Linked DNA regions of Daphnia pulex. The protein of the gene in region 1 binds, or shares a complex with, the protein of each later gene. Links are inferred from orthologs where the notes say so. Each region holds a gene or a part of one and is shown on either strand. Other genes may lie near its edges. The genes, in order: nuclear cap-binding protein subunit 1-like and nuclear cap-binding protein subunit 2-like.

Region 1 (4,339 bases):
GCCCTCCTTGCCACAGAGCAAGGGCAATCATTTAGAAGAAAATTCAAGGGGGATTTTGAAGAAACTGAAAAAGGGTTCTGTGACAGCCAGGGAAATGGTGAAAGATTAAGCACAAACAATTCTTTACCAGGTATGGCTCATGTGGTTGTTAGCAGACTTCCATTCATCGTTAATTTTATTATTCACTCTTCATTGTTCATCATTTCTTTTTGTATTCAAGTTGTAGTCATTGCAGCGGAATCTTTATCCACCAGTTCAGTGAATAACAGTAGTGTCCCATCAACAACAAATCCTGCTGTGGAGAAAAGTGTGAATGCGGGCCGTAAACGGGCCGAGAGCACACGTACAAGAGACTCAAGTACGAACAATTCTTTACCAGGTATGGCTCATGTGGTTGTTAGCATACTTCCATTCACCATTAATTTTATTATTCACTCTTCGTTTTAATCATTTCTTTTTGTATTGTAGTCAATGCAGCGGAATCTGTAGGCCTATCCACTAGTTCAACGGATGACAGTTATTGTGTGTCAAGCAATCCTGCAGGCTTAATCAATGCCGCTCATCAAGCTGATGTTCGTTCCATTCCATCCACAGTTTGCACTACGAGCCAAGTTGTGAATTGTAGCCAAGGTATACGGACGATTCGGCAAATTTGACGTTTGCCGAATTGGTTTTTGCCGAATTGGTTGACTTTGTTATTTTCCCGAATCGTACATACCAATTCGGTAAAAAGCCAATTCGGCAAAATTGTTTAAAATGCCGTTGTAAGGCCAGTGGCGCTAGCTGTGTGGGTTTCGGGTAATCAGCGCCACCACCAACACGCGAATTATACTGTCTTTCCCGAGAGATCTTTGAGCCCTTCCCGACATAAACACAAAACAAAGTGGAACCTGCTTTAACTGCCCATTCTTTTTTAGAAAACCATGGAGGGAAAATAGTTGAGTGAAAGGGAAGTTTATTATTTTAAAGGTTCCGTCGGCATACCATCGAACGGCAGTTTTCAAAAGCGCTAGTTGTTCGTCAGTCATGAAAATTAAATGACGTTTAGAACCAACTACAACTTCTCCTTTAAAAAACGAAGTGGGCATTAAGTCCATTTTGATTTGAAAAAAAAGATCAATTGGGTTTTTAGCAGTGCGCTTTGCTTTTACCCGATTTACAGCCCTAGCTAACGTTGTGGGGTTAATTGGGTTCCACAGTATTTGCCGCCAATTTACATTTGCACAGTTGCCGAATCGACTTTTGCCGAATCGGTAATTTCATAGGTGACAATTCGGCAACTTTGCCGAAACGGTTTTCGGCGATTTGCCGAAATGGTTTTTGCCGAATCGTCCGACATTCGTAGCCAATTTCACCTAAATTGAATTCAACAAATCCCATTTTTGCGTGAATTTAATTCAATTCAGCTGAATATAAACTGAATTGAATTTTTGCGCCAAATTGCGTTGCCTAAAATAAACAATTTTTACAGCTACGTTGTCAAGTTATGTAAACTATTTTCACGATCATCGAAGTTTATGATTTCATCAATAGATGGCGTCAAATTAACAGCTTCTTTAATAGCTCCATATGACAAACAGTCAAACAGGGTGGTAGTAGTTTGTCTGTCTTGTAAGCGTCGTAGACCAATTTAAAATAAAATCAAAGAATGAGTCGTAGGAAACGTGATGATGGATATGGTAAGGATTACAACTTATTGAAGAATTTGATGACATTATAAAAAGTTATTTGTTTAAAATTACAGAACATGGGTATCGTAAAAGGCGCAGAGTTGTCTCGGAGCAGGCAGAAATTGAAGACCGGTTAGAATCTCTTATTATCAGGGTTGGAGACAAAACGTCATCATCTTTAGAAAGCAATTTAGAAGGGCTTGCTTCAGTATTAGAAGCTGATTTGAACACGTACAAGAGTAAAATATTACGTATTTTGTCGGAATGCCCAATCCAAATGCCAGAGAAATGTACTATCTACAGCACATTAGTTGGTCTTCTGAATGCTAAAAACTATAATTTTGGAGGAGAGGTTTGTTTTAAAATTGTACTTTCAGTTTTTAAGATACAAGTATATCTTTTTTTAGTTTGTGGAACAAATAGTGAGAAACCTAAAAGAAGCTCTCCGTGAGGGGCAATGGGAATCTGCTCGTTTAATTGTACGTTTCATATCTGACATGGTCAACTGTCACATAGTCTCTGCCTCTTCCTTGCTACAGTTATATGACAGTTTTATTGACGCTGCCATGGAACAAGGAGTTCCTCAGGTTCGACGAGACTGGTAATTAAATTTTTGTTTTATTCTAAAGCAAGAGTAATGTAGATCACAACACTGTATCAATTTACAGGTACATGTATGCGTTGTTGACGGCGCTTCCTTGGGTTGGTCGAGAGCTTTTTGAAAAGAAAGAAAATGATCTTGAACGTATAATGGCAGCAATGGAAGGTTATCTTCGCAGAAGAAATACTGCTCATGTCGCTGCTCTTCGAGTTTGGAATTGTGAAACTCCGCACCCACAGGTCAGAAATGGCATGGCATTTTAATAATAATTGAAAAATTTCGAAAAACGTTCTTTCTAGGAAGAATACCTGGAATGTCTTTGGGCTCAAGTACGGAAATTGCGGACAGACGAGTGGCAGGAAAGACACATTTACCGTCCATATTTAGCTTTTGATTCTATCCTCTCTGAAGCTTTGCAACACAATCTCCCGGTCATTCTACCTCCGCCTCACACAGCTAGTACGCAATATCCGCTACCATGGGTTGTTTTCAGGATGTTTGATTACACTGACTGTCCAGAAGTAAGTTAAACGCTTTCAAAAGTGTGTATCGTGCGTATTTAACTCGGGACTCATTTTCAGGCTGGTCCACTTTTACCAGGAACTCATTCAGTAGAGCGTTACTTGATTGAGGAACATTTACACCAGATCATCACTCGTCATCATAACGAACGCAAGGAACTGTGAGTTTCAACTTGACAGAAACGTTTGTGCAGATAATAGTAAATTAATTTTGCTTTTCAGAGCCACCCAATTGTTGGCGTTCCCACAGAGAAATAAGATCCCTTTGGAATACATGATAGTTGAAGTTCTCTTCTCAGAACTTTTCCAAATGCCTTCCCCTCGTTACTTGGAGATTGCTTATGGTTGTACTTTGATAGAACTTTGCAAGCTTCAACCAAGTACAATGCCTCAGGTGAAAATATGATCTTACAGTAGAAACTTGAACATTTTCATTTGACTTTTTATTTCACAACCAGGTGTTAGCACAGGCTACGGAGTTGCTTTACGAAAGAATTGATACCATGAATGCCACCTGCTTTGATAGATTCGTTTCTTGGTTTTCTTACCATCTCAGTAACTTTCAATTCCGCTGGAGTTGGGATGACTGGCAGAATTGTCTTTCACTCGAAAAAGACCACCCCAAGGTAAATGTTTAAAAAAATGAAATTTTTCGAAATCTATCTAAAGGAACACTTAAATTTCAGGCAAAATTTGTTTCTGAAGTGTTCGGGAAATGTTTGAGACTCTCCTATCACAAGCGCGTGACTGAAATGGTGCCTGAATGTTACTCACCGCTGTTGCCCCCGAAACCAGAACCGTACTTTAAATACCAAATTGAAGGAGGAAATGGTTTTCCTGGGGCTGCTCAAGTCCAGACTTTGACTGAGCTCCTAAGAAAAAAGCCAACGCCTGAAGAAGTACTAGAGTTGGTCCAGCAACTACCGAATCCTCTCAAAGGTAAATATGGTGGATACAATATGTATAACTTCAAGCCATTTTGATGCAATTGTAATTAGATGACGACGGGGATATGGAGCCTTCACACAATCCTCTAGCAATTGAAGTATTTGTTCAGACTCTGCTACATTTGGGATCGAAGAGTTTTACGCATACTTTTGCAGGTCTCGCTAAATATCATTCAGTCTTCAAGGTATTTTCAACAGATTGAAATGTTATCGATAGTATAAAACGATTCAATTTTACGTTTCTGTCATAGAATATTTGTGAGAATGAAGAGGCACAGATCTGTATGCTTCGTCAAGTTTATGAGCTCTGGCAACACCACCCACAATTTTTAGGAGTGGTAGTTGATAAGATGTTAAAGACACAAATTGTTGAGTGTTGTGCCGTAGCAAATTGGATCTTTTCACGAGACATGGCACCCGAGTTCACTCGTTCGTACATTTGGGAGGTCTTGCACTTGACTATTCGCAAAATGAACAAACACGTCGTCCGTCTAGAGAAAGAGGTGGCGGATGCACGCGCTAAACTCAGAGCTGCACCATCTGATTCGGAATCATCTGATGAAGATCCATCTAGAGGTGCGAACAACTTTGGATTAATGT
Region 2 (3,347 bases), on another chromosome or scaffold:
GCACGCGGACATGAATGCTTCCAGCGGCTGCAGCAGTGGGAGAGAACTCGATTGCCGTCGCCCAGAAATATTCAAACAGCCAACACCAGATACACACACACTCACTCAGTACAATTTTCCTGGTAGTTCAGATGCACGTTGAATGTCACGTCAAGCACATTCTTTCTTCGAACGATAAATAAGTTAGTTTTAATTTGGAATAACTAAACAACTACCGAGCAATCAGAAATCGATACCATTTCCATTTTGGAAATCATCTAATTGATCAATGATCATTGAATTAGCTTCACATTTGACACAAATTCAATTGTGACATTCGTTATAAGTTGCAGACGACCACTGGGAATTGAATATTCAAATATTTCTTTGCATGTAGATGATGGCGTGCATCACGCGGCCGCAAAAGCTCTTCTGGGAAACTACCCGCTTCGCTTTGAAAAGGAAAAAGCTTTGGGAGTGACAGATCACATGGCAAGAGATTCTAGTGTCCCCACTTTTCGATCGATAAAATCCAGGCCAACCGGACTGGCAGATGGAAACATGACGAGAAACGTCTTCTTTCACAGGTAAAAAAGATTTTGTTTAGGAAATCAATTCAGCATGGTCTGTTTTAATTGAGGATAACACTTGTTGACATTTGTTAAAAAAAAAAACACACAGAGATGAATGAATACAGTATTTAGAAATGTTATCAATTGTTAGCAGCAGCAGATGTGGCCACCTTCTGCTGAATCATTTTGCCCCATCCTCCTCTGCCACCATCAAAGTCAGTTCGGTATTCATCTCTCACCTGCAAAACAGAAATCCATTAGTTGAGAACAATAAGTTTGAGCTGACGAAATGCTGACCTGTCCTCCAGTTTTGCCTCTGCCATATTGCCTTCCTTCAATGAAGCCAGCATCCCAGTCAGTTCTCACAATTCTGTCATCCAGTCTTGTCCCATTCACAAACCTGATGGCATTTTCTGAATCATTCCTCAGGTAAAACCTTGAAAGATAATTAGAAATAATTAAACACAATTTTGTTATTGGATTTGGTTGCAATGACTTACTCTACAAAACAAAATCCACAAGGGGTCCTAGTAAACTTGTCCAATCCCATGATGATTCTCTTGACATCGCCACATTTCCCAAACAATTCATGGATCTAAAATATTTGAAAAGATGAAATCAAATGGAACCAATTGTTGACTTGGAAGTATTTAACCTGTTCTTCAGTTGTGTAAAAGGACAAGTTTCCAACATACAGGGTGCAAGATTGACTCAACAGACGCTCCTGCTCTACCCGGGAACCCTGAAAGATGGAAATCAGTTATTTTGGCTTGAAATATCAAAATATTTTTAATTATTAAGGTATGCATTTCCATTTAAACATTAATTGCCTCAAAACTGTATATTAAGTTACATTTTCAATTCTGCTATCAACTCATGAGGCTTACTTTGAAATGTTGGTCTCGGTATGTGCTTGGAACCGCCATTTCTACGAATTATTTCGGGAGAACCAATCACACCGTTCACCCCAGTGTCTTCCGAATTAAGTGTCCTTGTATTCAGCCAATCAACCGGCTAAACTTTATGCGTTTTAAATTACTAAAATTGGTGTGGTTTTTTTCTAAAAAAAAGTGTGCGTTGACACAACAAACCTGACGCGAGTGACTTTCGAAAAGATGCTTATGGCGGCCGCTAGGTTACGTCACTTGCTAGAAACCCATTCCGGCGTTAAACTACAATTAAAAACCAAATAAAAATATGACACACTTTCGCAGATTTTTTCAATAATTTTTTAAAATCTCAATGAATTTTATCCAAATCTTAATTAACTTAACAGGTTTGTTTTGTAAATGTCAAAATTTTTTAAGTTATGCGAGTCATGCCTAGATGGCTCTTTTTATTCCAGACTCTTCTTGATTTTGCTAGTAAACAGTTTCATTGACGTCTGCTTGCCCCATGCGTTCACGGTTTAACTTGCGTACTGCGTCTTATTCTTCATAAATATATAACAAGTTGTTGTTGAGATCCTTAGCAAAACAATGGAACCCCCACGACAACCAAGAGATATGCAAGGACTTTTAAGATTTGCCATCGAAGGCACCGCAGCTGAAGATCGTACCACAACCACATCGATGAGTGAAGAAAGGAGACGCTGGTTAGAAGAAGCTCTAAGAGGATTGTCAGTCGACGTTGTAGCCGAAATATCAAAATCGTTAAATATCCTCAATCCAGATCGAGTCGAAAGTCCTGAAGAAGATCCCCAGGAGATGGAGGAAGCATTGGAAATGATTACTGACTTTGCCGATTCCATGGACACGGCTAATGGTATGAGATATCTTTTTTTATTGATTGAATAAAACATTGACACTTGTTTCGCTTGTTTCTCCAGACTTTCACAAGATAGGAGGATTTTTCATCCTCATCCCCTGTTTGAATTCTCCCCACGATGGAGTTCGTTGGAGGTGCTGTCAGTTGATTGGCACCCTCACCCAGAACAACCCATACTGCCAACAGCATGTGCTCAACGAAGACCTATTGCCAATTTTGCTTAAAATGCTGGAAAACGATGACTGTGAAGAGGCGAGAATCAAAGCCCTGTACGCCATTTCATGTAATGAGCAGATTTACAACTCACACTAAGGGAATTCAGTTAACAATTGATTGATTATAGGTTTGACAAGAGAATGTGCAGAAGCCCAGGATGCATTTGTGCATTGTGATGGTTTCTCGTCTTTACTGAGAGCACTGCAATCATCACTCGGGAAACTGAAAATCAAGGCTTCATTCTTGTTGACTTGTTTATGCAATGAGAATCCATCCTTCAAAGGTTTTATTCACATTCATAAGTTTCTCCATTTGTACTCTAACCAATACCCTGTTTACTAGATACTTTATGTAATATGGGATTTGTGGAGCAGTTTGTGGCTCTGCTTCAACGAGATCACGACTCGACTCACGAACATCTACTGGCCGCCTTGCTGGCACTTACCCAGAGCCACCCCCCATCGATCGAGGAGTGCCGTAGATCAGAGTTTCTCTTTCGTGAATTTCTCGACAACCGCATCGAATTAATCGGAGATCGCGACGAATGTCTGGTAATAATTATTAGTCAATACTTGAAAATGAAATCGAATTTTAAACTTTGAATTTTCATTTGATAGGAGGAAGCCGAGTATTGCCGTACTTTGTTGTCGGTGATTTTCAAGGAAGACATTGTCGAAGACAGGTGAAGTTATTGGCATTCGATTGCTGGCAATAGAAAGAGAATTTAAAAAGCAAACAAAGAGGCTCATGATATGGAGGCGCAATACACACACCGACGTCCTTTTGATAATCTTTACGTTTTTGTTTGTTTAC

The links.
Region 2: nuclear cap-binding protein subunit 1-like (region 1) and nuclear cap-binding protein subunit 2-like share a complex: the UniProt entries of both Caenorhabditis elegans proteins name them as parts of the nuclear cap-binding complex. The link is inferred for Daphnia pulex from reciprocal best matches to the Caenorhabditis elegans genes ncbp-1 and ncbp-2.

Annotation. Positions count from the first base shown.
Region 1 is NC_060022.1:6,378,300-6,382,638, reverse strand, and holds the start of nuclear cap-binding protein subunit 1-like, read left to right. Parts: upstream 1-1,524; 5' UTR 1,525-1,648; coding exon 1,649-1,679; intron 1,680-1,744; coding exon 1,745-2,022; intron 2,023-2,077; coding exon 2,078-2,271; intron 2,272-2,338; coding exon 2,339-2,510; intron 2,511-2,570; coding exon 2,571-2,792; intron 2,793-2,852; coding exon 2,853-2,953; intron 2,954-3,014; coding exon 3,015-3,186; intron 3,187-3,250; coding exon 3,251-3,418; intron 3,419-3,478; coding exon 3,479-3,731; intron 3,732-3,790; coding exon 3,791-3,924; intron 3,925-3,990; coding exon 3,991-4,315; intron 4,316-4,339. Other genes in the region: uncharacterized protein LOC124196162, read left to right, coding at 1-130, 221-379, 469-656. UniProt on the Caenorhabditis elegans protein: Component of the cap-binding complex (CBC), which binds cotranscriptionally to the 5'-cap of pre-mRNAs and is involved in various processes such as pre-mRNA splicing and RNA-mediated gene silencing (RNAi).
Region 2 is NC_060026.1:16,276,232-16,279,578, reverse strand, and holds nuclear cap-binding protein subunit 2-like, read right to left. Parts: upstream 1,674-3,347; 5' UTR 1,478-1,673; coding exon 1,439-1,477; intron 1,294-1,438; coding exon 1,207-1,293; intron 1,147-1,206; coding exon 1,052-1,146; intron 988-1,051; coding exon 849-987; intron 791-848; coding exon 692-790; 3' UTR 595-691; downstream 1-594. Other genes in the region: hsp70-binding protein 1-like, read left to right, coding at 2,030-2,315, 2,380-2,601, 2,662-2,817, 2,877-3,085, 3,152-3,220. UniProt on the Caenorhabditis elegans protein: Component of the cap-binding complex (CBC), which binds co-transcriptionally to the 5' cap of pre-mRNAs and is involved in various processes such as pre-mRNA splicing and RNA-mediated gene silencing (RNAi).